7 linked regions of the Kluyveromyces lactis genome follow. The protein of the gene in region 5 interacts with the protein of the main gene of each other region in a pairwise test. Links are inferred from orthologs where the notes say so. Each region holds a gene or a part of one and is shown on either strand. Other genes may lie near its edges. The genes, in order: DBP9, RRP12, NUG1, NSA2, EBP2, RLP7 and DRS1.

Region 1 (4,432 bases), on a different chromosome or scaffold from region 5:
GGATTTGTCAGGACTTCGATATCTTCGATCAGATACTAAAAGAAATGATTTCTAAAATGCAATTTAATATGGATAATAAGATTTATCACTCCAAGCTGATGTTCATCTTGGAGTATTTGCAACTCAATTTGGCAGAATTGAAGATACCTGACGCATGCTATCTTGAAGAAAGAATTGAACCTCTTGTTCGACCATACCTCGATTCTTCCGATGTTAAACTTCGGGAAAGCGCACATCTTGTATGGCTTGAAGTGTTTAATAATGAAACCTGGAAAGCAGATGTCACAAACTTTAAACTCAAAAGATTGAGGCTATACTTACATGATTGTTTCAGACAATGCAGTGCATCTTTAATGACAGAAAAACAATTAATTGTAATTTGGAAAAGCATACTTCCAACTATAAGATATCTTTCTAATTATGACAATGACTTAATCCGGGATCTAATTCATTCGACCTATATTAGAATAATCAACACTGAAAATTTACAAATGAAATCCACTAGCATACAATGTCTCATAGAACAATTCCACAATGTGCCTGATGAATACTTATGGGATTGGTTAGATGCATGTAACGAATTAGCCCGAACTCTTCCGCCTCTAATGAAAGAACATATCATTACTAAATTATGGGAGTATATATCACATTCTCACAATGAACTAGCAATTAGATGGTGGTATGATAGGATAGTTCCAAATTTATCAAGAATTTGATCTATACTTATATATTCCTAGTGCTAATGTTAAATAGGCTGGTCGTAATTAATTGAATATCTATTTGAAGCTTTTCAAAGGATCAGATTTACCCTTTCTTTGGACATTCCCCTTCTTCTTAACCACTCTTCCGTTCTTTCTATGCGAATTTTTGTGGAATGGAACGAAACCGATCTTCTTATTATCTTTCCTAGCAGTTTCTGGTAAAAGATAGTCCGGAACTCTTTTTAAATGCTGTTGTACACGAGCAGGATGTAACTCCTTGTCATGTCTCAAACTCTCTAAGTCATGAGGATTCTCTTCAAAATGTCTCTTTAGTTTCTCACTTGCCAAAAGTTCCTGTTTTAACTCCTTTATCCTTGCCTCTCTAATAGCAACCTGAGTTACTGCACGGAAACCGTCTTCCATTCTATAACGGAAACCTTCGACCTGTTTGATATCAAAGTTGTAAGGCTGTAGTTCAAAGCCTAATTTAGCCTGTTGTTTTATAATTCTGCCTAGTATCTTTTCATCCTTCTTAGCACTCTTGATCATAGATGGTTTATGCTTCCCGAATTCCTTCAAAGGAACAACAAAAGAAATAGAAATTCCTGACTTCCCTGCACGAGCTGTTCTACCAATTCTATGTACATACGATTTTGCAGTGGTTGGTAGATCAAAGTTTAATACACAGGCAACATTTTTGAAGTCCACACCGCGAGATACACCATATTCTTTGTCTTTCTCCACGTTTAGCTTTGGCTTCTTTTGTTTCTTTGCATTGTCTTTCGTAGTAACAGTGGAATCATCGACAACCTCAACTAAACCATCCTCAGTTTTTTCTGATTCTAAGTCTTCGTCTTCTTCTTTGATATATTCAGTATCGTCTGTAGCTATTAACAGTTGATAAACGTTCTTGTTGAATTCTTCTACGATATGCTGTCTTGAATTTGCTGGCAGTTCACTGTTCAAAATGCAAGATTTAATACCAAACTGTTCTAAAACTAGCTTTAGTCTGTATCCTCTATCGATATTGTTAACGAAGATTAATGTCTTACCCTTAATTAGTCCCAGTTTGAAAATCACATAACACAATAGGAACTTATCAAATTCTCCAACCTTCACATAATATTGAATAAGCTTTGTTTGATCTTTGTTGACTTCGTCGTCATTAAGTTTCAAAATCGCTGGTGAACGGCAGAATTGCTGCTTCAAGTGTTGGATATCGTCATTTAGAGTGGCACTCATCAAGAAAGTTTGTAAACTCTTTCTCAATGGTAAGCGTTCTGAAATCTTCGTAAGGTCCTCTTGGTATCCGAAAGTTAACACCAAATCAACTTCATCGATAACCAAGAACTTCAACCTGTCAATATTAACATCTTGCGCATCTAGTAAATCTACTAACTTGGCCGGCGTAGCTATCAATATTTCTGGATTTTCGGTAAGTAAAGATTTCAATAAGTTTCCCGATACATTACCCGATGAAAGATTTAAGCATTTAATTTCTTGAGAACAGAAAACAATGAGCTTTTCAACAACTTCTAAAACTTGCTGAGCCAATTCTCTAGTTGGGACCAATATTACCCCTAGAGTGGCACCTTCATCATTCTGATCTGCCTTCTTATGATCTAAAATTGTTTGAATCACTGGTATCAAATATGCTAAAGTTTTACCAGAGCCGGTACTAGCTTTCGCTATGATATCCCTTTTCTCTTGAAGAGCTAATGGTATCGCACTGGATTGGATCAAAGTAGGGTGTTTGAAGCCGATACTGCGGATGGCTTGTGATAAACGTGAATCCAAGTGGAACGAATCGAAAGAAGAAGAATCATCAATGTATCCCTGGGAAGCGCTTGTTTGAGCCATATTGAAGCGTTTTTCTGGACTCTAGCTCTCGTCGAACACTTTAACTATAACCTCGGTTGTAAGTTTCGATCAAAAGGTTAATGCTGCTGATAGTTGAGACCCATTTAGCCTGTTTTACAGCTCTTGTACGTTCAGACTCTGGATGAGATGAGATGAGCTTCCCAAAAATTTTCTTGAGGTGCAAAAAGAAACTACACAGGCAAAAGGATTTATGAGTCACGTGATTGAGTTATCTTGTCTCTTCTGGATTGGCAATGTGAATGAAATACCTCACTGTAGCTCTGATTTTGCCATGGTATTGGTAGATTGATTTAAAATTTACTGTTATAATGAGAATATATATATATATATCGCGTTTAGTAGTTTAGTAAATGGTTTTTTGTCCTCTTGGTGTCTTTTGTAACTTGTCGAAAACGATATGTTCATTCAGTTAATTGAAACTTGAATGCATCTTTAAAGTTTTAATAGATTATTTAGTACAGAGGAACACCTTGGCAAGATGGCAGTATAGGGTTGAAAAGTATATAGTTAATGCAAAAAGATGATTAATGACTAGCTCATATATAATCATATCTATATATGAGACAGATTAACACAATGGGGCCACCAAGTCGGAGCCAATTTTTAATAAACTCTCTATTCTACCTTTCAATGGATTAGAGTTACATTCTTCCACAACCATTTTTGAGAAGTTTATACATGCTGTTGTTTTTCCTAAGTTGATAGTGCCTTTTATTTCTTCTTTGGAGTCTTCCTCATTCAAAAATAATGTAAAAGTATCACCAAACTGTTCCTTGAAAACTCTCGATATGTTCTTAATTTTAGTCGTGTGATCATCGTGTCCATGATGATGTCCACATGACTTCGAACTCATTTTGATACTTGCTGGAGCGCTCTCGACACTCAGTAGAATTGCCATGACACTATCCGCGACTGAATCACTGATAACATTCTGAGTCCATTGCAATGTAGCTACATTGTCAACTATATTTAATATTACATCTCCCATGATTTTTATTTCTAGTTCACCCTTCTTTATCTTCCTCGTCTTGAATTCGGGATTGATGTTCTTCAATGAGACGTTTTCTTCGTCAATGTATACATCTACGTCACCAAACATTTGGCAGATATGCCAATATACTAGTTCGCTTTTACAGTCCAAGTGGACTGTCTGTCTTTCTGTCAAAACTGTAGTAGATAATTGTTGATAATGTTCTCTTAAATCTGAAAGCGAAACTAAACTTAGATCAAAATTCTTCTCATCTGACACCAATATACCTGAAACTATTTTCTCATTTTCTTCTTTGACAATTTCCGTTTTACTTTCCTCTGTTTCTGGATCCTCTTCATGGATTTCCGTGATTCTTTTCTCATTCTTTAGTGCGTCTTCTTCAGTTATAAACTCATCGAGATCTTCAATAATTTTCCCAACTGCCCTGGCAACCTTAACATCCTTGAACTCAATATCAACAAAGACACAATTTCTAGGATTGAAAACATGAACCTCGTTTTCAGTATCCTTGAGAGAGCTGAAATTAGAAAGAAGGGCTGATTTTAAACGACCCATTGGGTTGGATTCGCCATGAACTAAAATGATGTTGCTAGCTCCAATTAGCTCGATAAATTCTAAATTTTCCCTAAAGTCAACATGAGCAGCGAATGTTATTTCATCCACTTGGCAACGTCTTGGGATAGTTATCTCAGGGTTGTGTACCGAGGGAATAGCCTCAGGTTCTAGTAACAAATATTTTGCCATTGTACCTTCTACAGAATAACCAGTGACAAGAACCAGATTTTTTTCTTCTGGACACCATTTTTCTAAAATGTCTCTAGATAGACCGTTTTGCAACATACCTGGGGATGCTAACATG
Region 2 (5,156 bases), on a different chromosome or scaffold from region 5:
TTATTTGATTTTGGTCTAGTCGAGGAAATATGCGCCAATGTTTGAGAGTCCAATAAATCTAATGGGGTCTCCTTCGACTCGACAATGAATTGTTTAGAACCCTTCTTTCTTCTATCAGATTTTGTATTGTTTTTGTCTTCATCTTCACTCTCTTCTTCAGAAGAATATAGAGCTTCATCAAGGGCGGACATGAATCTAGACGACTTATTTGAAGGAGCAGCTTGCGCTGGCGCTTCTTCTTCGCCTTCATCTCGTTTACGAATACTTCTGTTACGAGACTTTCTGATATTGGCAAGCAATCTCAAGTCTTCTTCTGGGAATATTGACTCAATATAATCGTATCCAAATCTCCTAATCAATCTTTCTATGATGTGCTTAACCTTTGCCTTGAAATGGCCAGTATGTTCATGAGACCAACGTAATAATTTAGGAAGTAATTCTGGAACTTTAGGCTTCATGACTTCATCATTGAGACCTAAACAGCAAACTTTTGCAAAACCAATCGCACTTTTGACAATCTCTCTTGAATTAGAGGTTAAATATAGTTCGATTGTGTCATAAATTTCTAAGAGAACATCAACATCAACTTTATCTTTAAACTCGAAAACCAAACAAGAATATGCGGTGATTGTTGCGCTTACCATATGTTGCGATTCCCCAATTAAACCAGCTGAAATAATTCTGAAAAATTCAGCAACGGAAGAGGGTTGGTCTGGAGTGTTGGGGTCATAATTTGGAATGCAGGAAAGTTTGATAACACCCTCTGAACTATCCATTTTGTTAGCCATTTGGATAAGAATTTCAAAAGCCGTCTCACGGGATTTTTCGTTGACATCTTTGGTACACAATATGACTTCTGCCACAACCTGAACAATAAATCCTAGTTGAGTAGGTGGAAGTAAATTTACGAGAGTTCTAATTGCCGCCAACCTTGCTGATTTAGAGGAAGTGTGAACAGTTGATGCGCTGTTCAACATGACATTTTCAATATCAGATATGAAATTCGTGATGGCATCGGAACCTTCTTCGATTTCTGAAAGTTTATGAATAATACGGTATGCTCTCTTTTGGAATAATGCATTTTCTGAGTTGACGATGGAATTGAAAATAGCAAAGAGGGCACCATATGAGGAAGGTGGAACATATTTTACCATCGCGATAACTAAATCGAGCAAAGTAGCAGACATTTCATTGTTGTTCTTTTTAGCTTCTTCTTGAAGAGCAGTATTCAAGAGCCCACATACATTATTAAATGTTTGTGCAAGGTCTTCTTTCTTTGTTATTTGCAGATAAGAATCAATTGTCTCAAGGATATATCCTCTGGCGTTTGGAGCGGTTTGAGTATAAACATTGAAGAGCACCGCTAACATATTAGAAGATTTGGTAGACAAGTATTCTAAACTGTTCGTAGCACTTTCTATGGAAAAGTGTTGCAAAAGAAGCGAATCTGTAGTTGAGTTTTTTTGATATACTAGATTACTTTCGACGAGATTTCTTAGAGCACGACAAATAGTCGTTCTAAGTTCAACGTGGGAATATAACAAACCAGACAATTCAGCAGCCACCTCATCAGAAAAAGCTTCAGTCAAATCGGTTGGCAAATCACAGAATGGTGGCAATAAAGACCAGATTTGATCTACAACAGTTTGATATACCTTTAACTGAACAGATTCTTTACCAAATTTATCGAATTGAGATTCGAAATGTTTGATAAGAGGTAAAAACTCTTTGAAAAATGTATTTAACGTAGAATTCTGGATGGAGTCTCTTAATATTGGTAACAACCAGGCCCTTCCCGGTTTTGATGTAGATGGACTAATTAAATTTAGTGGTAAACATCCTAGTACAGCATCTACACCAATAGCTTCTATAGCCCCACCGATAACGTTTTCTGCCTCGGATCTCAAGTCCAAGAAGTTTTGTTCATCTGTTCTCCAACTGCCTACAATCTCTAGAGGTTTGATAAAATCTGGATTGGCTCTATATTTCAACTTTTTGAAAGTAGCCGTCAAAACATTTAACACTGCCTTAGCACAATGTGTGTATTTAATAGATAATAGATCCACAAATATCTCAGACAACTCTTGAATAACTTCATCAACTGCTTCAAAGTGCTCAGCGGAAACGGAAGGTGGATACAACAAAATTTCTGATTTGATTGCGTCAGTGACAATAGCGATTAAACATTGTGCTGCGCTAAAGTAGATATCTGGAATCTCACTTGATAGGTAAAATGATAAAGTTCTGAAAACTTCAGGAATCTTAACAAAACACTTTAATGGATCGTGAATCGCATATGTGCTGATACCTTTAGCGACGACTGCAATCCAGGCTGCTGCCAAATGTGTATCATTTTGGGATGGTTTTAATGAAAAAATGACATCAAGGGCTTTCATGAATTTATTCTCCGCTAAGCCAGATGAGACTGAAGACTCGGCCATAGACTGGAATAGAACCTCAAAACAGTTAAAAGAATTAGATACCAAAAATTGGTCCGAGGTTTTACAAACTTCCAATAGCAGATCACAGAGTTTTTCCACATGCGCAGTTGGCCATTGATTTGTTGATATTATATTGCTCAAAAGTTTCAAAATATGAATGATTTTGGAGTTCAATTCACTTGCACCTCCCATTGCTCTTAGCTTCTTATTGGAAATCGTTGCAGATTCATCAAGGATGGATACCAATGCATTAATAGCGAATGCTGAGATCAAAGGTGATGCGACGTGTTCTGCTGTTGGACCAGGTGGAGGGTTTTTTAGAATGTTGGTAATTGCATCCTGTGCTCTCTTCCTTACTTTTGGTCTTGGATCTAGAGATAGCTCAAGTAGACCATCCAAACCTCTTGTTGGAGTCACCTTTAAATTTTGAGTGTTATTCCACGTTTGCGTATCCTGGGCAATTAACAAAGCTTCTAAACAACCAAGAGCGGATTTGATCAAAGGAGCGTTAGCCTTTTCATCAGTAATACATGGGGCAACTTTAATCAAAATATCAGCAAACCTGCTCTTTAATATTTTCTTTGGTGTATAATGAAAAATGATGTCCAACAAATACATCGTTGATGTTGCTAATTGTAGATCTTTAATGGCCGCAGTTTCTGTATCGATAGTTTGATCCAGCAAGGACATCAAAGAAATAAGATAATTCACGATGTTCTTATTAATTGCCTCTTGCTCATTAATATTTTCTTCAATAGCAGCCAAGATTATGGCAATGTGCTTCTGATTCTCTAGTTTTGATGTAGATTGTCCTCTGATTTTAGCAAGCTTATCTTCAAGTTCAAGAAGCTTGGACGCTTGTTCAGGACCCATATTGCACAATTTGTTCGCTTGTCAGTTTTCAATCCCAAGTTAAACTCAGTAATTCTCTTTTCTGAGGTGTTGTTGATTATAACTCGTCTCTACTTGTTAGATGAGATGAGCGATGAGATGAGCTAGATTGAAAATTTTATACAGCTTGTGAAAAATTTCTTTTTAAGCCCTTAGTGATGAAGCAGCAAGGATCGTGAGGCAATGAAGAAAGCAGAGAATAAAAAGTAAATAAATTTTGGTTAATATATGCCAACTCTGTATATATGCGTCTGCTAAACGGGTTCAAGAACATACTATTTCATTATTTGTGTCGTTAACTTTCTTTACTGAATGCGATGTTATTTGTAATGCCAAGTCGTTTTATATGACTGCATTTTTGGTAAACTAATTCCCACCGTCAGTCTAACTCCAGTAAATAAACACTTTCTCACTTATAGATACTTTCTCATAGATCAACTTCCTATACTATTAGGCTGTAATGTCGCCATAAACGCCTAAGACGAATGTTGCTCATACGGCTGTTAGATATCCCACCTATATCACGTGATAGACATGCTTTATTTAGTTGGTGTTGAAAATCCTTCGAAAGATAGAAAAAAAAATTCAATCAACATTAAAAGCGTAATAACAGGACAAACATATTATGTATCAAGACGACCAGAGCGAGTAAACCAAGTCTCTTAAACCAGAATTTAACGCCAAGTTTGGTGAAATACAATAATCATGACGAAAGGTTTGGTGAGGATAAGACTAGCTAGATTCGGAAGGAAACATACCCCAGTATACAACATAGTTGTTACCAACAAACATAAGGCGTTGAATAGGAAACCAATTGAAGTATTAGGAACATACAACCCAATCCCAAAACCATTAACGAAGAAAGAGGTTAAACAAGGTGTTGTTCCTACTAAAGATGTGGAATTAGACTTCGGAAGAGCTAAATACTGGATCGGTGTTGGTGCTCAACCTAGTGATACGGTAACAAGACTATTGAGAAAAGCTGGAATCCTGGATGAAAATTGGGGAAAGACCTACACAAGTAGTAGGGTTGTTATTGAACCTAGGAAAGAAGTCTTTGAAGAATAGACCAGCTGTTCCGATTACTGTATTAAAAGCGGTATATCAATAATCAGGGCATAAATCACCATCTCCCAAGGCTTTCTTACGGTCAAGAACTCATGTATATAGGCTTAAATTGATAAGAGGAATTCGGGCACTTTTTCCGGTCATAAACCAATGTAGTAGTTACATACACTTAACAGCTTGGCCCCATGCGGTAAAATTGAAGTGATTAAATTTACATATCACCATATATAAGATGCTATCAGGTAATTCTACACAATAATAATAATCGTCATCAGCATATATTTCCCTGAATGAGGGAAGTATCATCGAGGAATACTGACTGTTAAACTATGTGATTTCCGAAAATTCATAAATATTAACAAAATTACAAGAACAAAAAGATGGTTTATGTTATGTTTTTGTGAATGAGTGAGTGAATGTCTAACTTCTCAAGTATTTAATAGGTATGTTTGGTGTAATGTTCAGGTTTGTATTGGAGATTAGTGCTCATGATGTTACATCGAGTCAAATTGTGTTCCAGTGCAACTATAAATTGGATTCATTTTCTATATGTGTGGGTAATCTATTGTTTCGTTCATCAGGCTGTTGACCAGCAGCAGCAGTATTTGTAGCATTTGAAGTTGAGTTCAAAAGAGTATTTACGCTTGCGGTTGATTGTGCTAGGAAAGATGATTGGGATGGGATAGAATTTGTTGGAGTAAGAAAGAAATGAGCATTACTAGAGGATCTTGACCTTGTTAGATTGGGAAGAGCAGG
Region 3 (4,374 bases), on a different chromosome or scaffold from region 5:
ATGCTCGAACAGGTTGTCTTGAAAGCTCGGAAAATGTTGTTTTCTGATAGCGTGATACTTTCCAACTTGTCAAAATCAGAGTTCATTTCATTCAAATGCTCAAATCCATATGACTCAGTCTCTTTCGACCCAAATTTGTAGGTAATATCGATTGATGAAGTATCACCGTATTTCATCAATAATGCACCTTCAAACGATGTTCTCTCTTGCCGAGATGTATCTAGTTTAGTCTCCTTCACAAATGAGCCACTGCTCTGTCCATCGGATGTTCTGAAGTATCGTACTCCGTTTAACGTTCCATCATGTTTACCTCTTTGCTTGTTGTCCCACTCTAAACCATATGCAACGATATTAGGCCATTCTGGCAATGATCCGATGTATCGTACTGTGCAAAACTCACCTCCTATATTCAATCTATCATTGACATTGATCTGCATATTTGGCCCTAGATTTAGTCACGCTGTACACATAGTGTAGCCTGGAGTTCGTATGGTAGACTCACGGATTATTTCTCTTCTTCACTCTTTTAAACATTTTGATTTTAGTAGGCATTTAAAGTATTATTTAAAGGTTTGTTACCTAAAGAAAAGAGATGACAAAAACGTCTTGCCGAAGAAGATATTAAATCATTTATATGTAGTAGTGTACAAATGTGTATTGTCTATTAGGTGCGTGGACTGAAACGGGTGTTCAAATTCACATCCTAATACATAAGCTTTTAAATCTATAGCTTTAACGATGCGAAATAAAATAAGCAATAGGATCCTTGATCGTATTTCATAGAGATGCAGAATAATTCGTTTTCTGTGTTCTCAATTACCTAAGTTGTCTTGTTCAGCTTCAATGGCGTTATCCAATGACGCGAAAAGACCATCCAAATCGAATTCCTTGGACCATTCTTGAACAATGGTCGTTTGTTCCACCTTAGCTGGTGCTGCGACAGCACCAGTACCTAGAGTTGGTTGGTTAGCTTCACCAGATGTAGCAGCATGTTCTGCAGCAGATTCCTTAGAAGCATTGGGTAGAACCCATCCTAGGATCTTACCATCTCTCCAATCGTTAAGAACGGATATACCAGCGCTGGCCAAGTTTGGAACACCGCCCTTACCTAATCTACCTCTCTTACGGGCGATATGGATCAAGAATTGTTTGGTGAAAGAGTCTGCATCGGCAGCTGGGATAGGTGGTAATTCGTACAACTTCTTGAAACTTTCAGTCATTTCTTCAGATTTAGAAAGTCTCTTCACTAATTTGAGCACAGCTGGGTAAGGATCTATGATGAATTTTGGAGGTAGAGCGTTCAACAAGGCCAACTCTGCTTCTTGTTCCACTCTACTCATCTTTTTATTTTCACTTGGGAAACAAATACCTGGAGAATCCAAGATCTTTAGCTTGTTATCTACCTTGACTTCTCTCATAGATGTAGTGACACCAGCTTGGTTACCCACTGGACATGCTTTAGAAGAACCACCACGGCGAGAGGTCAATGCGTTAATGACAGACGACTTACCGACGTTTGGATAACCGATGACACCAACAACGATGGATCTCTTCAAGTTTGAATTATTGGAGTAAGTCTTCAAAGCTTCTAACAAGCTTGAAGCAGTTGTAGCCTGAGTCAAAGTCCTGTTGAAAGATGTGGAGTTAGTGGCACCAGGAGCAGCTCTCAATGGAATAGTAGGGAACGAGGATTTCAAAAAGGTTAACCATTGTTGCAACACGTATGGTGGCACTAAATCGATCTTGTTCAAGATCAAAATTAGTCTCTTACCCTGGGATTGAAGCACGGCCTGTTCCACTCTTCTCGATCTAGTTCCTTCTGGATCTCTTGCATCTAGCACGTAAAGGATAACATCGGACGCATCCACCACAGTCTTGAATATCTTATCGTAAGCCTTTCTAGACTTTTCTAATTCAGAATCATCATCATCTGCGTCAGCGTAAAAGTCTACGTCGTATTCAGCAACCTCTAAATCCTCTTGCTCTCCATTCATTGTATCATCGATACCTTCCCCATTGTACTCCTTTGCAGCTTGCTGAGCGGATTCTAACAAAGCAGAAAGACCATTGTTGCCGTCGTTTTCATCTTCATCCATAGATTCATCGTCATCACCAACATCTTCACCTAGTTCACGAGTTCTTCTCTTAGCCTCTAACCTTTCCTGCTTTCTACGTTCTTTCTCCTCCAAATCAGTTCTTCTCTTCGCTTCAATCTCTTCGATGATCCTGTTCTTGTACGGGAAATTGGCCGGAATACCTGGATCCTTACTCTTATTGGATTTCCATGTCACATCCTTCTTAGCAAGTTTCCGCTCTTTCCTATGTTGAGCAGCAGCCTTCTTCTTGATACCCTCCTTCATACGAGTGGAAGTTCTCTTGGAAGTTCTCTTTCTTACTCTCACCATCTCTTTTGATTAATGGAAAAAGGTATATTTACTGCACTGGATTATAGATATCTTAGCTGTTCCGGTGAACTTATCACGGAAAACAGTACTGAAACATCTACTTGAACAGGTGTTCTGTAAATATCAAGTCTCATCTCATCTCATCTCATCTCATCGCAGGTTTTAACATATTTCGAAGAGCTGAAAAATTTCAAAGTAGAAAAGAATTTCTTTTTGCTGGCGGACGACAGTGGAAACACAGTGGATACTCGTCAATTACGAGGCAATCTTATGCTACTCGCAAGCCATAATTTGTGTCAATAATATTTGGGACGTATTTGGTATATCTATGAGCACTTCCAGGCAGATATTTAACATTATATATACAGTAATACCGTCAAGGGCAGTGAAACTGTCAGTACATATAAAGGCAGCCCAGTAGCCGTTGCGCAGTTTTTTTTGACACTAGCAGGGAACAAAAATCATCTCAGTAATAAGAACTGATATAACGTGATATACGATACGAAGTTGCGAGGGTGGAACTTGTTTTACCACATCTCTCATCCTCTCTACTTCCAGTCAGTGTAGTAATAACTGCGAAGTTATTACTTGTTACCCGGATCTCGTGAAAATTTTCATCAACCGTAAACAAGAGACATGCCACGGTTGTTTCTGTGGCGTTTATCACGTGATATATATTTCCGTCGAGTTTCCAGCATTTTTGCTTAGAAATTGAGAAACTAAAATGATAAGGAGCTATCCAGTTGCAACTTACACAGTCTTGTCCGTCTACTAGTTGGTTAATCGGTATTTCTTCTGTTCTTTTATAACAAAAGCAGCGCCTAAGTTTAGTTATCTTAGCGGCTCATCATTCGACTTCTTACCGTTCAGTTTCCAGCTATTTTTTTAGGCTGTTCTGAGTCATATACCGAGGCAAGAGAAAAGAGAAACTATGTCATTGCCAGCAGCAGCTTCAGCAAATGTAGCTGTCTCATCTAGAAGGAGGGGGCCAAATTTGAACATTGTTATATCGTGTCCCGAATGTAAAGTTTATCCTCCGAAAGTTGTGGAACGGTTTAGTGAAGGTGATATCGTCTGTGCATTATGTGGGTTAGTCTTATCGGATAGAATTGTGGATACCAGGTCAGAATGGCGTACTTTTAGCAATGACGATCAGAATGGAGACGATCCAAGTCGTGTTGGTGAAGCTTCAAATCCTTTGTTGGATGGAAACCATTTAACCACACGTATCGGGCAGGCCCAGGGAAGTGATGCTAGAGTTACTAGGGATTTGAATAGGGCTCAGTCGAAATCTATCGTTGACAAGAAGGATAACGAGTTGCAAGCTGCATATGCGAAGATTACTATGATGTGTGATGCTGCAGAACTGCCCAAGATTGTTAAAGATTGTGCTAAAGAAGCTTATAAATTATGCTTCGAAGAGAGAGTCTTGAAGGGGAAATCACAGGAAAGTATCATGGCTTCAGTTATTCTTGTCGGATGTCGGAGAGCAGAGGTCGGGAGATCTTTCAAGGAAATCTTATCCTTGACTAACGTGCGGAAGAAGGAAATCGGGAAGACGTTTACCATCATCAAGAACATTCTAAGAGAAAAGAATGATAGAGGGTTTGCCAATATTGATACTTCAAATATCACCACAGGACAGACAAGTGCAGAGACTTTCATCCCTAGATTTTGTTCTCATTTGGGCCTTTCAGTGCAGGTGGCTAATGCTGCAGAGTACATCGCGAAACACTCTAAGGATGTCAATGTCTTGGCTGGTAGATCTCCTATCACCATCGCAGCAGCAGCTATCTATATGGCAACTCTACTATTCAAATTGAATATCAGTCCTACAAGAATCTCTCAGACTTTACAAGTCACAGAAGGTACCGTGAAAGGTGGATACAAAGCATTATACGAACACAAAGAAAAAGTGGTCGACCCACAACTGATAGAATCTGGTGTCGTGAAATGGGACAACCTTCCT
Region 4 (3,644 bases), on a different chromosome or scaffold from region 5:
TAGACGCCCGCGTAGGAAATATCTGCTTTCCTATTGCCCTGCCTAGCCAGACCGGGGGCGCCGCCCGCGGTCTAGGCAGATCAGATGAGCGTAGACAGGAATTTGAGAAAAATGATTCAGGGAAAACCAGGGTTGCTCACGTGCCGGACAATCTGTCTGGACAGACATTTTTCACGATCGAAATAGCTGTTAGGCAGAGAAGTCCACCGTGGCCAGGATTATTGTCCGGCACTTCTAAATCAGGACGAGAATGTGAATCAAAAAGAGGGTTGGATTGAGCGAAGAGGCTGGATCAAAGGTACTGTAGTCACCTGCAACAGTTCTAATATGAGAATCTGTATAGTGCTACTTTCAGTATCACTATAACAGTAATTTAAACGAGACTCAAGTTGGATCATTAATTGGCAAAAGCTTTCTGTAGATGCAGAACAGGGGGAAAGAAGGTAAAGGTTAATGGGTAAAGGGGCTGTCCGTTAGGACAAATTTCAATACATACTGGTGGGGTTTGGAAAAAGCACTGATTGCTTACGGATCAGTTTCTGTGGTGAAAACTAGAACGTAGATCCAGAAATCAATTTGATCTGGGGAACTACTTCGTTTCCAGTGGGATCAATGATGTTCTTTTCCTGAACAACGTCGACGCTAGTATCTGTATATGGACCAGTGCTAGAATCTGACCTAATAAGTGCTGTTTTGAAGGTAAGTTTGTGTATATCAAGCGCAAAGAATGTGTATGTATAATACTGAATATATATATATATATAGATAAAATTATTTGGTATGATTTGGTAGGGTAGTACCCTACTTTATTGTGAAACAATAAAGATGAATACTTAGGGTAACCTGAGGGTCCAGAAGGTCAATTGACACGACGTGTGAGTAGCAATTAGTTCAATGCATTGGAATAGCTGGTATCTCAACGGCAGCGAGGCATGAAATTGTCAGTCTCATTGGCTATAATTCAGTATTTAACGCTAAATATATGATTAAATAATGATGATTTAGCCAGTACTTTCTAATAAGGGAACTCAGTTCTAAAATGAAATAGTAATATACAATAACGTAGCGGAGTGGGGGGTGATGCAATAGGGAATAATTGAGATGAGTAGGAATTTTGGTAGTAATAGGTTGTACTTGTTCTTACACAAGTAGCACAGCGTTGACACAACCGTCTCTATCTGGCTCATTCGTGATTTGAGCATATTTACCCCAAACCACTTTACCACCAGAAGTAACCATACCTAATTCCGAGACGTTCACTTCAATAATAGTACCCTTGGTTAATACACCCAACTGTGTGTACATTGGCGATTGAGGATTCTTCTTCACCGCAAGAATTGGCAAGAAAACGGTGACTCCAAGTTCCGGATGCGTCACATTAGCCTTCTTTTGTCTCAAAGCACTAGGTCTGATAATCCTTTCCATCTTCACAGGCCTTCTTGTAAACCCTTCACCAACAAACGTATGTTTCGTGATCATTCTCTTCCATGCCTTAGACTTAGACTTACCTGTCTTAACAACTTTGAACATCTCTTCCTCACTGATACCTCTGACCTTAGGCAAAGGAACAGAAAACTTGTCAGCCTTCTCCAAACGCTTCTGCTTGATGGAACTGGATATAGCCTTTGCAGTGTTGTTCTGTTCTCTGTCTAACAAATAAGTAGGCAAAGCCTCCCCGTTCTCATCCAACGGTTTGGACCCTCCTTTAACTTTACTCTGCTCATGAGCACGGATCTTCTTCTTCATAGCAACCTTCTCAGCATAACGCTTCTTAGCAAATTGCTTACCCTTCCAACCAGTCAATTTCTGAGCCTTTTCAGAGATCTTATGAGCCTCACGGGCTTCTCTCTTACGTTTTCTCTCATCGTGGTCTAATCTACGACCATGTTGCTTGATGTGCTGTTCGATATATTCGTTTTGAGGCATCTTTGTTTTATTGTAAGAACGACTTGTTCGGTGATGACTTACTTCTAAATCACAAACGGACACACGGACTCCTTGAATGGACTTCTTACCACATGTTAACCCATGCGATGAGCTAGTTGTTCAAGTTGTCTTTGTATGCTTTTCTCATTGAAAGAAAAAAATTCAATAGGAAATGTCGAAAAGAAACGTAGTGAAAAAAAAAATTTGGAATCAAGCGATGAGATGAGATGAGATGGGTATCAGCCAGATACAAGTTTGGTTGTCTGGTGTGGGTTTGGCATAGGTTCGATCTACTGTTATTGATGTATAAAACCTCATTACATTCTATTGACAAGGGTTACAGCGGAAATATAGCCATGTCTGAGGAGTTAGGAACTGTTTTGAAAACGATTAGAGATTCTTTGAAATCTTGTGGAGAAAGCTTGGATAAGTTAGAAGAAGTCTATGATGATGAGGAGACCCATCCTTTCCAAGGTTCAGCGGTGGTAGGTCACAAAGGTGATAAATTAGAAAAAGTTTCTCTACTTTCTTTGAAGAATGGGAGTATGCTATCGTATTTGAATTCGCTTCTGTTGGTATTGGGACAGAAATTGAATAAAGAGATGGTTGTTGATGAGGGTAGAGTCAGGGCAGTGGAACAACGAGTTGTTCTTGAAAGAGGTGTGAAGCCCTTGGAGAAGAAGTTAGGGTACCAGCTGGATAAATTGACGCGGGCGTACATTAGACTGGAGAAAGACGTTGAAGAATCCAAGAAAAGAGCCGAATTGCAGGGACTGAGTGACGTACGTGCTTCCCAGGAAGAAGTATCAGACTCAGATTCTGATAGTGAAGAAGAGATGCAATATAGGCCGAACAGTTCAGGAATGGTCAATAACACATCAGTTGGAGGGAAAGCCAAGGGGAAAATCGCTGTCAAGAGTACTCACAATGAAGAAGATGTGGATGATAAAGATAACGTTTATAGACCACCTAAGATCAGTGCCGTTCTGCCACCAAAGCAACATCACTTCGAGGATAAATTCAACGCACAAGAACATAAGGATAAGAGTAGCAGGTCTCGTATGCAAGCTATGGAAGAATACTTGAAGGATTCCTCGGAACAACCGGAATGGGAAACTTCTATCGGTGCCAATATCGTCAACCATGGTAGAGGTGGTGTGAAGACAGCAAGAGATACAGAACGTGAACGTGATGTTCAAAGATTCGAAGAAGAAAATTTCACTAGATTGAACCCCAACGGATCCAAGACTGACAAGAGAATGAAAAAACAAAGAGAAATCATGGCCAAGGTTAATATGATCGCCGGTGAAGATTTCAGTATCTTCAACTCCAAGCGTAAGTTGGAGGATAGTACAAGCAGAAGAGGTAATAAGAAATCTAGAAATGCTTGGGAAAGAGCCAAGAAGAAGTTGTAAACCTGAGGTCCTTCTTTTTCTATGTATAAATAGGCTAAAATATCCATACGTCTCTATTGTCATCATATAGTGTCAAATACGTAGTTTATAAATCGAATGATAACGGTGTTGCACTGCTCAAACTCTAGCTTTGATGTGGTTTGTTTCGTTTCGTTTTGTCTCGTTTTCTTCATATCAAGGTGTAATCACCAATAATTAATTAATACAATCTAAGCGTTCCAACTTTGCAAGATATAATCACCACCTATCACCCCTACTAATCTCCTACCAGCGTACAACTTCCAGCGCCCCTGATGAAGAACG
Region 5 (4,161 bases):
CCAAAGAGAACTTGGATAAGTCGACTTTGTCCTCTGGTGCAGTGATCAAATCCAACAACTGACCCAATTCGGTTTGAAAAGTAACGTCATGGAACAATTCCAATAGATCGACGTAGTATGGCTCTGTTCTGAAGTGTTTCTTCAACAGACAGTAGATGGCACCTTCCAACATGAATGCATCGTTGATCGCAATGTCGCCGACGTTTTCCACTTTGTACCAACATGGTTGTCCTCTTCTTGTGATCGATTGGTCCATCATGTCATCAGCAACCAAGAAGTACGCTTGCAACAGTTCAATACACCAACCAAGGATGGCAACCTTCTTGTACTCTTCTGCAGATAGTTCGCTCACTGACTTGTAACCTTTCAAAAGCGCGTATGTGTCAACGACAGAAAGACCACGGTTCAACTTACCACCTGGGGTGTTGTAGTTCAATGATTTTTCGTACCATTCGATGGCTTCTTCGGGCATACCGTACCCGGCCAAGATGTCTCTAAGCTCTTGTACTAATGATGGGAACACTTCCAAAAACTGGGCTCTGTTATCACTCATTCTATCTATCAGGTTCGTTGTCTATTCGTTTCAGGTACCAATGGTAGAACGTTCCTCAATTGAATTGCCTGCTGAACTCAGCTGAATGGTACATAACCTGTTAATATACTTCAACGCAATCAGTATGGTGGAATGTTCCAAAGTTCGTGATTTCGAAACGGCTTTAAACGAGATAGTCAAATCACGTTTGTATTATTCATGTCCGGGTAAAAATTTCTTTAACGTAATACATATACTTGCAGTATACATGAATTTACATACATTATGGAGGAAGAAGTATCTCGTGGTGGTAATGCTATTGTACATGTACGTTCTTGCTCCTCTATTAGTTACTCTCAGTGTCTTCTTGAACGCTTGGACTTGCCTGGACGTGGTGCCTTACCCTTCATCTTTCTTTGGGAGAATTCTGGCATTTCAGCGGAGGATTGGGCATCGTTCTTTCTCTTGTAACGTTTCAAACCACCTGAACCGTATTTGGAATTCTTAGCTTCTCTCTTGAAATTTGGTTTATGCTTCTTTTCCGATTGGGCGGCGTCTTCGACACCGATATCGAAATCGTCACCGCCGATTTCGTTGTGCTTTCTCTTCTTCTTCAAGTCCTTAATCTTATCGAGTGTTTCTCTCTTATCCTTTTGACGTTGTTGTAGAGTAGCCACTTGCACTTGTTTACCGAATTTCTTTAAGTCTCTTTGTCTTCTAGCTTCTTGACGGGCCTTCTTTTCACTTGCCTCCTTTATCAATTTACCCTTTAGTCTGTCCATATGTTCATCACTCTTAACCATTTCGGCGAAATAATCTAAAGGTCTCTTGAATGGGACCTTCAATTTCTTTAGCTTTTCACGGGCGATGGTGACAGCATCCAAAGACTGTTTGTAAAATGCTAATTCTCTTTCAGTGTCATCGTAGATGTCCTTGATCTTTTCGTCGGTGTTGAGTTGAGAGGTGACGGATTGATGTTCTTGGAATGAATGCTTTTCCCATGGTTTTTGAATACGTTCTAGAGCATCCTTCATAGCTTTTACGTTATTGATGGTAGTTTTTTGGTATGGAACGACATCGGCATCTTCGTCAATTTCAACATCAGATAGAGGAACGTCCTCTTCCTCTTCCTCTTCCTTTTCTTCTTCTTCTTCTTCTTCTTCTTCTTCTTCTTCTTCCTCTTCTTCATCAGAATCGGAATCAGAGTCACTGTTTGCCAACTTCTCAAGATCTAGACGATCTTCTTCGTCACTCTCATTATCAGATTCTTCTTCTTCTTCTTCTTCCTGCTCTTCTTCCTGCTCTTCTTCCTCTTCTTCTTCTCCCTTCTTCGAAGGCTCCTCGGCTTGCTGCTTCTTGGACAGCTTCTTCAACTTTCTCTTCTCTTTTCTGGACAAAGCGTGGCTCTCGTACTCGCCGGTTACCCCCTCTTCTTCATCTTCTGATTCAACTTCTGGTTCAACGTCCTCATCAGCTCTCAAGTCATCCTTGGTGACTATCACTGGCTCCTCGTCCTGAGCATTAGATGGACTTGGTTGTTTGGTCTTTTTGGATGTTACCTTCTGTTCGCTTTGGTCAATAGCCTTACGACGGTGCAGAAGCTCCTTCAACTTGAATCCTTTAACCATTGTTGCCGTTTTGCGTACCTATATGCCTTAGATTGAACAAGATCTAACCCTCACCCGTCAAGTTACAGCGCCTCATCTCATCCATCTCATCTCATCTCATCTCTTTATATTGGAAAATTTTTAGCCTTGATGCTTTGAGAAAAAGAAACGCCTCGAGACTTATAACCATTCTAACATATAGATTCAAGAGTTAACGGTTTATATATATATATATTTATCTGGGTGTGTTTGAGTATACTATATGTTACTTGCAGCTACTAATGCGTCAGTGACCGAATTCTATGCGGAGCCTATACAAATCGTTTTTGTTGCAACTTCTTGAATAGATCTTGATCAATGTATTTCTTTAATGATGGCCCGTCTTGAGTCATGTGACCACTTTCAGATAAACCCTTGCGACGTCTTGTCTTCATCACAAAGTCCCTGCTTAGGCTTGCAGCAGGCGCTGGTTTCAACTTCGGTATGAAGGCTTCTTCGTCAAGTACGTCACCTGGCACTTTTCTCCATATTTTATTCCAAAAGTGCATTTGACACATTCCGCTACCGGCGGTCGCAACACGAAGATCTGTCTCAAATCCAATCGACTCGATGACAGGTAATTGAGCCTTTATTTCTATGAATGGTGATGCCACTATCTTTTCTGTCTTGTAAATTCTTCCACCTCTGCGTCTCTTCAATAAATTCTGAATCACAGACTCCAATACCCCCGATACGATAATATCGACTTCATAGATGGGTTCCATGATAATTGGAGTAGCAGACATTAGCGCAATGTAACATGCCTTTCTCGTCATTGGCACTAGTTGAGATGGGATGATATCTTCGATGCTGTCTTCTTGTACCTTGAATTGCAAGAGTTTAAATTGGCATGCATGGATTGTTTCATCAGCCAATGGTCCTTCTTTCACAGCCCATTCAAACCCTTGTAAAATGTTTTCTTTATATTTCTTGAGTAGTTGCTTATCCGTTTCATCAGGTAGAGTATCGTCAATGAATACATTACATTTTGATAAATCCCAGCAGTTTCTAGCTGCCAATGAGTCCCATCCATACTCGGTTCTTAGACGTTTGGAGAACTTTCTCATGTTATTCAATTCTGAACTGTCGATTTCACCATGCGTCAAATCGTGTACTATCTTTCCATCTAATTTTTCGGCCATAACGCTGAGTGATACTACACCGTTGTTTGACTTTACAGGAATTGACGCGAACGATTCGTTCTGACAACTTTCCGTGAATTGCACAAGCGGTTGGCTTACTTTGATCTCAATTTCACAGAATTTTTTCCGTAATTCGTCCATCACGCAATCAAGGTAAAGTTCTCCTGTTCCAATTATGATGTTTTCGCCGCTTTCTTCAACTCTAACCACTAATGCAGGGTACAATTCGTTTGCTTGTTGAAGACCGTTCAATAGTCTCGGTAGTTCACTTGGTTTCTGAGGCTGTATGGCGAATTTGAACACCGATTCGTTGAGATAGTTAATTGGTGCTAGCGGGTTCATCAAGCTCGAAGACAAAGTTGCATATTTCGTATACTGATCTTCAAAACCTTTTAAAAGTACAATCTGTCCTTTTATTGCTTCCTCGAGTTCGTAGACATACCTACCTCCCATTAAGGCTACACGCTCAATAGTAACCTTGGAGTATTCATCATCACCAAAATCTACTACAGAGTCTACGGACTCATTGAAAATATAGAGTTTGTTGCCTTTTTTCACTGAGCCCTCTATTATCCGACAAAGGGACCACTTGGAACCTTCCAGGCTCATGTGTCTCAATACATGTACAACAGTGCTTTCATCGGATGATAAGTTGTTGATTTTGTGGTCCTGTGTTGAAACAATAGCATCGATGAAGCAGTGATAGTGCGGTAGTATAGCATGAAACACGCTAAAAAGTAGCGGCTGAGGATCCTTTGATAGAATCTCATCTGAAAGCCTGATTTGAAAATTGGTTTCGATGACTGTTCTTAGTTCTTCCTCGGATGCAGATAATGTATGA
Region 6 (3,620 bases), on a different chromosome or scaffold from region 5:
CAAGCACGTTAGCCTTGTCAAGAGACCAGATTGGTAATGGTGGGTTTTGTTGCAATGCCAAGAAAGCAGCCATTCTTGTAATTCTTTGAACTTCAGGAACACTGTATTTCTCAGAGTCCCAAGCAACTCCGTCACCTTCATCTTCTTTTCTTTCACCAAAGTAGATACCACCAACCAATTCTCTAACGACGACGAAATCGGTACCCTTTGCATATTCAGGCTTCAAAGGAGAAAGATCTAGTAAAGAATCAGAAGCAAAGTTACATGGTCTCAAGTTGGCGTATAGACCCAATTCCTTTCTGATCTTCAATAGACCTTGTTCTGGTCTAACTGCGCCCGTACCCCATTTTGGACCACCAACAGCACCTAGTAAGACAGCATCGGCTTTCTTAGAGGCTTCTAGAGCTTCATCTGGTAAAGGAGTGCCAGTGGCATCGATGGCAGCACCCCCGATCAAGTGATGTTGGAAATTGAACTTAATTTCTGGACGGACTTCAGCAATGGCATTCAAGACCTTAATAGCTTCGTCAGTAACTTCTTTACCGACGTGATCACCCGGTAGGACAACGATATTCTTAGACATGGTATAATCTGTGTAGTGTGGGATACTTTTTACTTCTTCAAATAGGTATCAACAATAAAAATAAATCGAAGCAAATGTAGGAATGCGTTAAAGCAGATGTACTTACTTAGAGTACATAGATATATTTATATAATTCAATATATAAAAGTATATGAAGCATCTGATGTTGAACCTGTCATGACTCTAAACTGGAATGGGTAGTTATGCTTCTGAAGGTTTTCCGTTAGAAAATGAGTGCAGGGATCAGGCCCGGAACCGGTTTTAGCCTGAAAGGAAAAGAAAAAAATGCGGTGATTACTAGCACGTGACTGCGCTGAATTGGAATCCACCACAAGTACAGCGAATGGCAAGAGGGAAGGGGAATATATTGTGCCTGGCGGTAGCGTCTGCTATATCAAATGTTAAACATAACTAAATGCAGTAGTGAATAGAGTAATGTATTTCTACATATGTGGGTAGGGCCAATGGGAGCCCGATGTCTATTGTACAGATATTTTCCTTTTATAGTTAATCAATTCAACTTGGAAATCATTGAGTCGATATCTACTTGGATAACTGGAGCCGTGGCAGCGTTTGAAATTTGACGAGTCTTCTTGTTTTGTTCGCGCATTTTCAGTTTATTCAAACGGGAGATGGCACCGAATCCACTGACTTCTCTGTTCAATTTGAATGGTAATAGGAAGAAAGTACATTTCGAGAAATTTTCGCCCAACGTCGAAATCTCATGGATGATATCCTCGATACAAATGACACCTTCATCACCTAATTTCTCTTCAACGATATTGTTGTCATTCAAGATTATCTCTTTTGGTTCTTTATCTTCTGGCCTTTGCCACATTATTCTAGATCTCTTTTGGATTAAAGAACGGATAGATGCAAGTGAAGGTTGTCCGATAACAATATATGGTGATACAAGTTTCAACAATGGGTACACGTCCTTGGTAAGTTTGATGAAAACACCAGTGTTCAACTCAACAAGTCTCAAAAGAGATAACACTTTGTAAGCCTTTGCTGGGATCTTCACAGCTGTGGGTCCTTTCACTCTTATAACAAATAATAAGCTTGGCTCACCATCGTATACGATTTTTTCCCTGATTAACCCATCGTCCTCTTCATCTTCCTCATCAACATCTTGAAGCTCAGATTCGGATGTAGCCTTACTACCGGCTTCTCTTTCAGAGATACGCAAGATAAAATCCCTATCGGATGGGATATGTGACAAATCGTTCTTGACCTTTTGGTTTTCTAAGTCTCTGACTCTTCTGATTCTGGTCTTTTCTCTCTCAGTAGCCAAAGTTGTGGCGACTATCGTCTCAGCTCTAACAAATCTGTTCTTCTTACTACGTTTCTGTTTCTCTTCTTGCTCCTTTCTCTTCTTGGCAAGCTCCTGCTTCTCCAACCTAGTACGATCAGCATTTCTTCTCTTTCTTAAAAGAACCTCTGGGTTCGAGTTCAATGGTTGTGACATTTGTTGCTTCTATATTACTGCCCTGTTTATTAATCTCAGCACAAACCAGCTCTATATAATACAACTTATATGCTCCTAATACTTCAGATTAGCCAAGGTCATCTCTCATTGAAAGCTTTATTCATAATCTTTAATTTCATCTCATCGCATCTCATCGCACTGAACTTTTTTTTCCTCGCCAAAAAAATTTTCTGTAACGAAAAGAAACACTTCCAGTCACGTGAACTGTGAAACCAAGATCTTCTGTTTGACACTCAGACAAGTAGATGATCAATTACAATTACAATTACAAGCTGACCTCGAATAGGGTACTGGCAAGTTGGCGTTTACCTGGGATGATCTGTTGCTGCAGCATGGTGTACCCCAGCAAGATTCTTCAGAATTAAATGGGAACATTTCGGAAAGTTACCCAAAGAATGGGAAGCAAGTTAAATAGTCAAATAGTCAAATTGTGACTGTCTATATGTGAATCGTATATACAGAGACGAATTTTCAAGCAGTTTCCCCTATCTACCTGCTGCAGGAACTAGCACTTCTAACCGGCAGTAAAGTTTTCCGTATCAGCTCATGAAATCGTTATATCTTGGCTTTTGACACTGGCTTTCGAGGTGGCTTTAGGAGTCTCGAAATGTGTGCCCACAGCAGTGTTTCCTTCGAAACCAGCCGTGGCTCCATTCTTTGTACCATCTATGCCGCTCTCTGTTTCGAAACAACCGTGAGATCAACTGTGGTTCAAGTTCTCAACACAGAACAAGTAAGAAAAAAAAGAAATGGGAAAAGGTCCCTCGAGAGGAAGAATGCTGAAAAGGCAGAGAAGGAACCTCAGAGCAAAGTCCGCCCTTTATCATAAATCGGCGGTCTTTTCTTACAACAGAGATCCCAGTGGGGCGGCTCGAACGACGGAAAAAATTTCGAACGATTTAACCGTGAACGCATGCCTGTCCCTAAATTGTAGGACGTTTTCCTCGATTTAAATTCCAAATCACTGAGCGATACCGCTGACAGCACTGGAATTATGCTACTCTTAAGTTATATTTTTCCCTTCGCTCACGTGATTCTAGGAAGATAGTAAATACACTGTGCCGTTTGTTGAGCTACAGCGTGAACAGTAGGAAATGTACTTCCACTACGGGCTGACTAAGTCCACGCTCGAAGGAATAAAAATCACTTCGAGTGTCTTATGTTTTTCTTTTCTATCAAAACGACAAGTACGATAAAAAAACCGGCATGAAAATCGAGTAGTGGTTATCAGAATGAACATTGCAGGACCCGCGCTGAACCCAAAAGTCGACTTTCTTGATTCTTAATTGTAATCTGACTCTTTGAATGCTTTGAGCTTCGAAATTCCTTTTTTTTTTCTTTCATATTTAATAGTGAAAGTATTGAATCCTCGAGAAACTGAAAAATTATACAACCATATAATTAATACACACTGAGCCGTATCTGATTGAGTCAGATCTAAGTGATTGGAAACGAGTAAGGTTTGTAGGACTCTAGTTTCGGATATCCAGTTTTTTGAGTGTTGTATCGTTCCAAGGCGGATTGTAGGTCCTGTCTGTTGTGTTTTTA
Region 7 (5,098 bases), on a different chromosome or scaffold from region 5:
AGAATGGAGAGAAAAACAGTTCAATGACTGGGCAGAAGATATTAGTAGCTTTGATGAGATTTTACAAAACCAAGTGCAGGAATTTGTACGCTACCAAAGACTTTTATTGATGCAGAAGGGTACATGGGTGTACTCAGAGAACCCAATTGAAGCAAAGGATAAATTACCAAAGGTTTCATTTATTGCATTATCAGATAATCAGATGAATTTATTGATAAAAGAATTCAAACATAAGGTGGAAAAGACACCCACTGTTGAAGATAATGAAATAGTGACCATCGATCACTCTGCCATGGTAAATAACAAAACTACTGTCATTCCGTTAAAGAATATTATAAACATTCAAAGTAGGCAAATTGAACTCGATAGAAAGCTTCCTGAAGGTGTTAGATTGATTAATATTCTTCAGAACACAATTTATAGAGAAGTTACCACCTTTGACAGAAACGGGAAAATTTTATCTGCATTTTACTTGGAGAGTACAGAGAGCTTCTACACCTGGTTGGATGGTTTACAATTATTATCACAAAGTAAACACGCCAAATTATCACCAGAAACTGAGAAACAAATCGATACATTAATAAAATTAAGAAGGAACGTCCAACTTGCTGCTCTTGATGATAAATTTAGAGATGATGAGTCACTGGAATCCTTCTCAGAGGAGGAAACGGATGACTTTTATTACAATCCAGAAACTCTAAAGCAACTCTCGATGGGTATATATTACGAATGAGAGTTGATGATTATGTAATAACACCTCAACTGCGTTTATGTAGTATATAATGAATTTTCATGCGCATTGATAATTAAGCCAAAACTAAGAACATAGGACAGTAATTTATTTCTTACCCTTCTTTCCCTTCTTTCCGTAGGCAGCTTGCTTCTTGCTGTATTGACGTTCCTGATATTCGACACGATCTTTTTGTGTCTTTTTATATAGCCGAGGATTCTCAGCCAATGCTTCTTGCTGTTTTCTCTTCTTACTGTTGATTGGCTTTTTGTTTTTTGCCAAAACTTGAAGCATTTTAGAGTTCTTCTTCTCAGCTTCTGATTGAAACCAGGTTCTTCTTGGCCTTGCACTGATTTCTTCCTTGTGTTTTAGCATGTTTTCACCTTTGCGAAGTTCCATTTCAGCTCTAAGTATCTCTTTCTCTTGCTTTTCTTCTTCAATAATCTCCTCTACAACATCACCCTTTGCTCCAATCAAGCTGTTGACTTGCTCGACTTGTGTCCAGTCAACGTTTCTACTCAAGGCCTTTCCACTTTCAGCGTTTTCTTCCACTGATCTGATCGCACTTCTGACAATACTTCTATCTTGAGATGATTCGCCTACAAAGGTTACTGAACGACCTTCTCTACCCGCTCTGGCAGTACGACCAACTCTGTGTAAGTAAATTTCGTAAGTTTTTGGCATATCGAAATTGATAACCACTTCAATTTTTGGAATATCTAAACCTCTCGAAGCTAAATCGGTACAGATTAAGACTGGTACTTGTAAGGATTTGAAGTTATTAACAGACTGTAGACGTTGTTCTTGGGTTAACGAACCATGCAATTCACCAACTTGCATACCCAATAACCCAAGGACGATTCTCAGTTTATGGGCAGTTTCTTTCCTAGCAACAAAAACTACTATTCTCTTCTGGCTTGTATTGTCCAACTTTCTAATCAATTGATATAATAATGCCGGTTTGAGATGATCTCTTTTACGTATACGGATGAACTCCTGTGTCAATTTATCTGCTGCTTGTTTTGGAGGATCAATCATAATCCTAACAGGCTTCTTTAGAGATAGCGAGATTAATTGCTTAATTTTTGAGTTCATTGTAGCAGAAAACAACAGAGTTTGTCTCTTACTTGGAATGAGAGACATGATTTCTTGTAGTTCCTCTTGGAAACCTTCTTCTAACATTCTATCAGCTTCGTCAATGACCAAGATTTCAACTGAATCAACGCTGAAACTCGCAGAATTTCTTAAATGATCGATAAATCTACCTGGTGTGGCAATTACGATATCAGGTCTGGTCTTCAATGCTTGTTCTTGTTGTCTTAAATTCAAACCACCGACGGCCAAACCAAACGTTAGTCCGTTAACAAACTTACCGATATTTTTACCAACATCAGCCACTTGAATAGCCAATTCACGGGTTGGAGTTAGTACAACAACCCTTGTTGATGCAATATGTGCAGGTTTGTACAACAAACGTTCGATGATAGGAATCATAAAAGCAGCTGTTTTACCAGAACCTGTAACAGCACCGGCAATGATATCTTTACCAAGAAGGGCAATAGGAATAGCAGCACTTTGAATTGGAGAAGGACTGGTGTATCCTAAACTTCCAAGCCCTTTCAACACAGGACGGGATAACGACAAGCTGTTGAAAGTTTTATGAACGATCTTTTTAGCATCCGCACTTTCCTCTTCTGGAGCATAAAATTCAGCCATTTCTTCTTTAGTGTCTTCTTCAATGTCTTCATCTTCGTCTTTTCCCTTACCTAAATCTGCCTGACTCATTTCGGTCTTTTTGTCGTCATCTTCGTCGTCATCCTCTTCTTCTTCATCCTCTTCATCTTCTTCATTTTCCTCTGTTGCCTTTCTCTTGACACCCATACCGAACCCATCCAAAGCTAATTCATCTTCATCATCACTCTCGCCAGGTTCGTCTCCTTCTTCTGGTTCTTCTTCGGACTCTTCTGATAGGCTTTCTTCGGCATCACTGCCTGTAGCAGCCATCATAATCAAACCACCTTTTCTTCTAATGATCCCATCTAGATCGACATCTTTTTTCTCAACTTCATCACTCTTCTCATCACCTTGGAAATCCCAGCCTGCAAAGTTGGTGGTAACTTCTCCGCTGTCAATGGAGAATTGGAATTCTGGATTCAAATCTTCATGGACATCTTCGTCCAAGTGAGATCCCTGTTGTTGCTTGGCCTTCTTTTTAGATTTGTTCTTAGTTTTTGAGGACTTCACTGGCTTCTTTTCCATTTCGTCATCAGAAGCATCTAAATCTGGAACATCTTCTTCGCTATCACTAATTGTAGGAACAAAATCATCGAATGATCTAAACTTCTTAACAGCCATATTAACGAATGCCGTATATCTCTTTATTTTCCACTTACCTTAATACTCAATCAAAGAACAACAAGAATTCTATTCTTTCTCGCAAAGTAGAAATGAGTGAAGAATAATAGCACTAGATAAATAGTATGTCACCTGTAGAAGTTATAATAAGGAACAATGAACAGTACTCACTGCTAAGTTATTCTAGTTGTCGTAGCTCATCTCAAGCTCATCTCATCGCCATTCCAGATGTGAAAAGCTTGAACATGGAAAATTTCTTTTGAGGAAAAACATATCGTCAAGTTAGGGTAACCACTGGTTGTCAACATGGAAACTAGTTCGGAATCTCTAAGCAACATATTAAATCCAAGATGAGTTGTGATTGAGACATGATTTGAGAGACTTGAAAATAAAGACAGAATTGAGTAGTTAGTCCTCTTTCGTTACTTATTGCATTCCTCCTATAATATTCGGTGAATTCTTTTGGTTGTTCGCACCAGTTATATTTGATAGAATTGAACTGTACCAAGTGCAGTTTTAGAAAGGCGACCGATTAGAGACATTTCAACCAATCAGGGAGATGGCTTCGCTTAGACGATACATGCGTGTTCCGAGAGAACTATTACCCACTGAAATCTTCAAACAAGAGTCTCAGTCCCCTGGTAAAATAATCGTTCAGATTATACTCTTGCAAATGTTCTATTATCTCACTGCATCAACTTTGTTTTATTGCTGGGCGAAAATATGTGGGTACGAAATAAAGCTAAAGCAATGGTTGTTTACATGGCAGGACATTGATTTCTCAAACTCTTTTGGTATTTCTTTATCAGCCCTTTGGTTAATTGATTCCTTGATTTGTGTCTTTTTTTTGACCATCATAGTGGGAAGGAGTAAACTCGCGTGGGATTTTGCCATTACAATCCATGCTATAAATCTAGTAGTAGTATGGACACACACAGGGCTATTCCCTTCACTAGCATGGTTTATCTTGCAATTTTTGTCTACACTGATATTGATTTTCCTTGGGACTTGGATTACCAGGTGGAGAGAGTTGAAAGACACATTTTTCGAAGGTATGGTGGATGACGATTCTGCACCTGCCAGTGCCAGCCAGCCAGCTTCTCAAGTTCCAGGGAAAAGCATCGAACTTAGAGATCTAGAAGCACAAAAATAAAAAGTTTTGCATGTTTATATACTTATGTAATGGAAATGTGTTATATTATTCTTGATGAAATCACGACAATTAATCAAAGGGTCCGAAACCATGAGACATTTTCGACGTAACAATAAAGAAATCAAGTCCTCTACTCCTCCGGAAAAGATTTGAAGCTTTGTTGCTCGCTCTCGTCATTATGGCTGTTTTCTATGTATAATTGGTTTCTGGCTAGAAGGTCATCCAGCAATTGGAAGATTGATTTCTGTTTCATTGCATCACCAGATTTGTATATGGTTAAACCACCCTGGACCTGTTGGCGTAAGTTCATTAAGACGACTGACGATTCAATTCGGGTGATTAAATGGTCAAGGAATGCAAGAAGATCTGCTTCGGACGAGTTTTTCATAACGGCCTGTTTGGTATTACTATCAAAGGTAGTATATCGTCCATTGGCAGAATTTTCCAGCCCGATAAGACCACCTTGGACTGAGGAGAGGACAGTCTCCAATCTATTGGACACTGATCTAATTTGGAATAGAAAATCATCTGAAATAACACTGTTATTCTGATCTTGTGTTGCCAAAGTGTGTCTCGCTTGAAGTGATTTAGGATATGCTATGGTGACAAGTTCTTTAGTTTCCAACCCTTTCAACGTTTGTTCACCAAGCTCGACGAACATCCATCCTATAGACGATAATATGTGTATTTCTCGTTCTAAAATTTCACCCACAATGTCTTCCCCGTAGGCTTTTGCGAGCGGAATATTATCTTCAGTGACTTGCTGGTGGTAGCTTAAAATCTTCTTAAACTCTACCATAAAATCATTACTGAGCATGACCTGTCCTCCATCAGCAATACCAGAGACTCTTGCAGCTTTA

Evidence for each region.
Region 1: the proteins of EBP2 (region 5) and DBP9 interact in binary tests that used the Saccharomyces cerevisiae proteins (3 or more experiments, as listed by UniProt). The link is inferred for Kluyveromyces lactis from reciprocal best matches to the Saccharomyces cerevisiae genes EBP2 and DBP9.
Region 2: the proteins of EBP2 (region 5) and RRP12 interact in binary tests that used the Saccharomyces cerevisiae proteins (3 or more experiments, as listed by UniProt). The link is inferred for Kluyveromyces lactis from reciprocal best matches to the Saccharomyces cerevisiae genes EBP2 and RRP12.
Region 3: the proteins of EBP2 (region 5) and NUG1 interact in binary tests that used the Saccharomyces cerevisiae proteins (3 or more experiments, as listed by UniProt). The link is inferred for Kluyveromyces lactis from reciprocal best matches to the Saccharomyces cerevisiae genes EBP2 and NUG1.
Region 4: the proteins of EBP2 (region 5) and NSA2 interact in binary tests that used the Saccharomyces cerevisiae proteins (3 or more experiments, as listed by UniProt). The link is inferred for Kluyveromyces lactis from reciprocal best matches to the Saccharomyces cerevisiae genes EBP2 and NSA2.
Region 6: the proteins of EBP2 (region 5) and RLP7 interact in a two-hybrid assay, tested with the Saccharomyces cerevisiae proteins (2 studies listed by BioGRID, with this or other methods). The link is inferred for Kluyveromyces lactis from reciprocal best matches to the Saccharomyces cerevisiae genes EBP2 and RLP7.
Region 7: the proteins of EBP2 (region 5) and DRS1 interact in binary tests that used the Saccharomyces cerevisiae proteins (3 or more experiments, as listed by UniProt). The link is inferred for Kluyveromyces lactis from reciprocal best matches to the Saccharomyces cerevisiae genes EBP2 and DRS1.

What each region holds. Positions count from the first base shown.
Region 1 is NC_006039.1:416,441-420,872, forward strand, and holds DBP9 (ATP-dependent DNA/RNA helicase), read right to left. Parts: upstream 2,562-4,432; coding exon 777-2,561; downstream 1-776. Other genes in the region: PEX8 (Pex8p), read left to right, coding at 1-716; cleavage polyadenylation factor subunit YSH1, read right to left, coding at 3,151-4,432.
Region 2 is NC_006042.1:2,518,940-2,524,095, reverse strand, and holds the start of RRP12 (mRNA-binding protein RRP12), read right to left. Parts: upstream 3,315-5,156; coding exon 1-3,314. Other genes in the region: MRPS16 (mitochondrial 37S ribosomal protein bS16m), read left to right, coding at 4,038-4,400; CIP1 (Cip1p), read right to left, coding at 4,926-5,156. UniProt on the Saccharomyces cerevisiae protein: In association with GSP1, required for nuclear export of both pre-40S and pre-60S ribosomal subunits. Required for the late maturation of the 18S and 5.8S rRNA of the pre-40S ribosomes and for maturation of the 25S and 5.8S rRNA of the pre-60S ribosomes.
Region 3 is NC_006040.1:1,173,265-1,177,638, forward strand, and holds NUG1 (RNA-binding GTPase NUG1), read right to left. Parts: upstream 2,406-4,374; coding exon 813-2,405; downstream 1-812. Other genes in the region: PAC2 (Pac2p), read right to left, coding at 1-437; SUA7 (transcription factor TFIIB), read left to right, coding at 3,337-4,374. UniProt on the Saccharomyces cerevisiae protein: GTPase required for 60S ribosomal subunit export to the cytoplasm.
Region 4 is NC_006041.1:1,204,694-1,208,337, forward strand, and holds NSA2 (rRNA-processing protein NSA2), read right to left. Parts: upstream 1,927-3,644; coding exon 1,141-1,926; downstream 1-1,140. Other genes in the region: small subunit rRNA maturation protein LCP5, read left to right, coding at 2,154-3,341; VFA1 (Vfa1p), read left to right, coding at 3,635-3,644. UniProt on the Saccharomyces cerevisiae protein: Involved in the biogenesis of the 60S ribosomal subunit. May play a part in the quality control of pre-60S particles. Under normal, rapid growth conditions, high levels of NSA2 would allow the progression of pre-60S particles through the ITS2 processing.
Region 5 is NC_006037.1:606,102-610,262, reverse strand, and holds EBP2 (Ebp2p), read right to left. Parts: upstream 2,161-4,161; coding exon 889-2,160; downstream 1-888. Other genes in the region: ERG20 (bifunctional (2E,6E)-farnesyl diphosphate synthase/dimethylallyltranstransferase), read right to left, coding at 1-553; U5 snRNP GTPase SNU114, read right to left, coding at 2,451-4,161. UniProt on the Saccharomyces cerevisiae protein: Required for the processing of the 27S pre-rRNA. Probably involved in the step of the processing of the 27 SA precursor into the 27 SB intermediate.
Region 6 is NC_006040.1:417,866-421,485, reverse strand, and holds RLP7 (Rlp7p), read right to left. Parts: upstream 2,052-3,620; coding exon 1,095-2,051; downstream 1-1,094. Other genes in the region: LEU2 (3-isopropylmalate dehydrogenase), read right to left, coding at 1-583. UniProt on the Saccharomyces cerevisiae protein: Involved in the biogenesis of the 60S ribosomal subunit. May act as a specificity factor that binds precursor rRNAs and tethers the enzymes that carry out the early 5' to 3' exonucleolytic reactions that generate the mature rRNAs.
Region 7 is NC_006042.1:1,452,722-1,457,819, reverse strand, and holds DRS1 (putative ATP-dependent RNA helicase), read right to left. Parts: upstream 3,086-5,098; coding exon 839-3,085; downstream 1-838. Other genes in the region: LMO1 (Lmo1p), read left to right, coding at 1-733; SYS1 (Sys1p), read left to right, coding at 3,645-4,238; CYR1 (adenylate cyclase), read right to left, coding at 4,369-5,098. UniProt on the Saccharomyces cerevisiae protein: ATP-binding RNA helicase involved in ribosome assembly.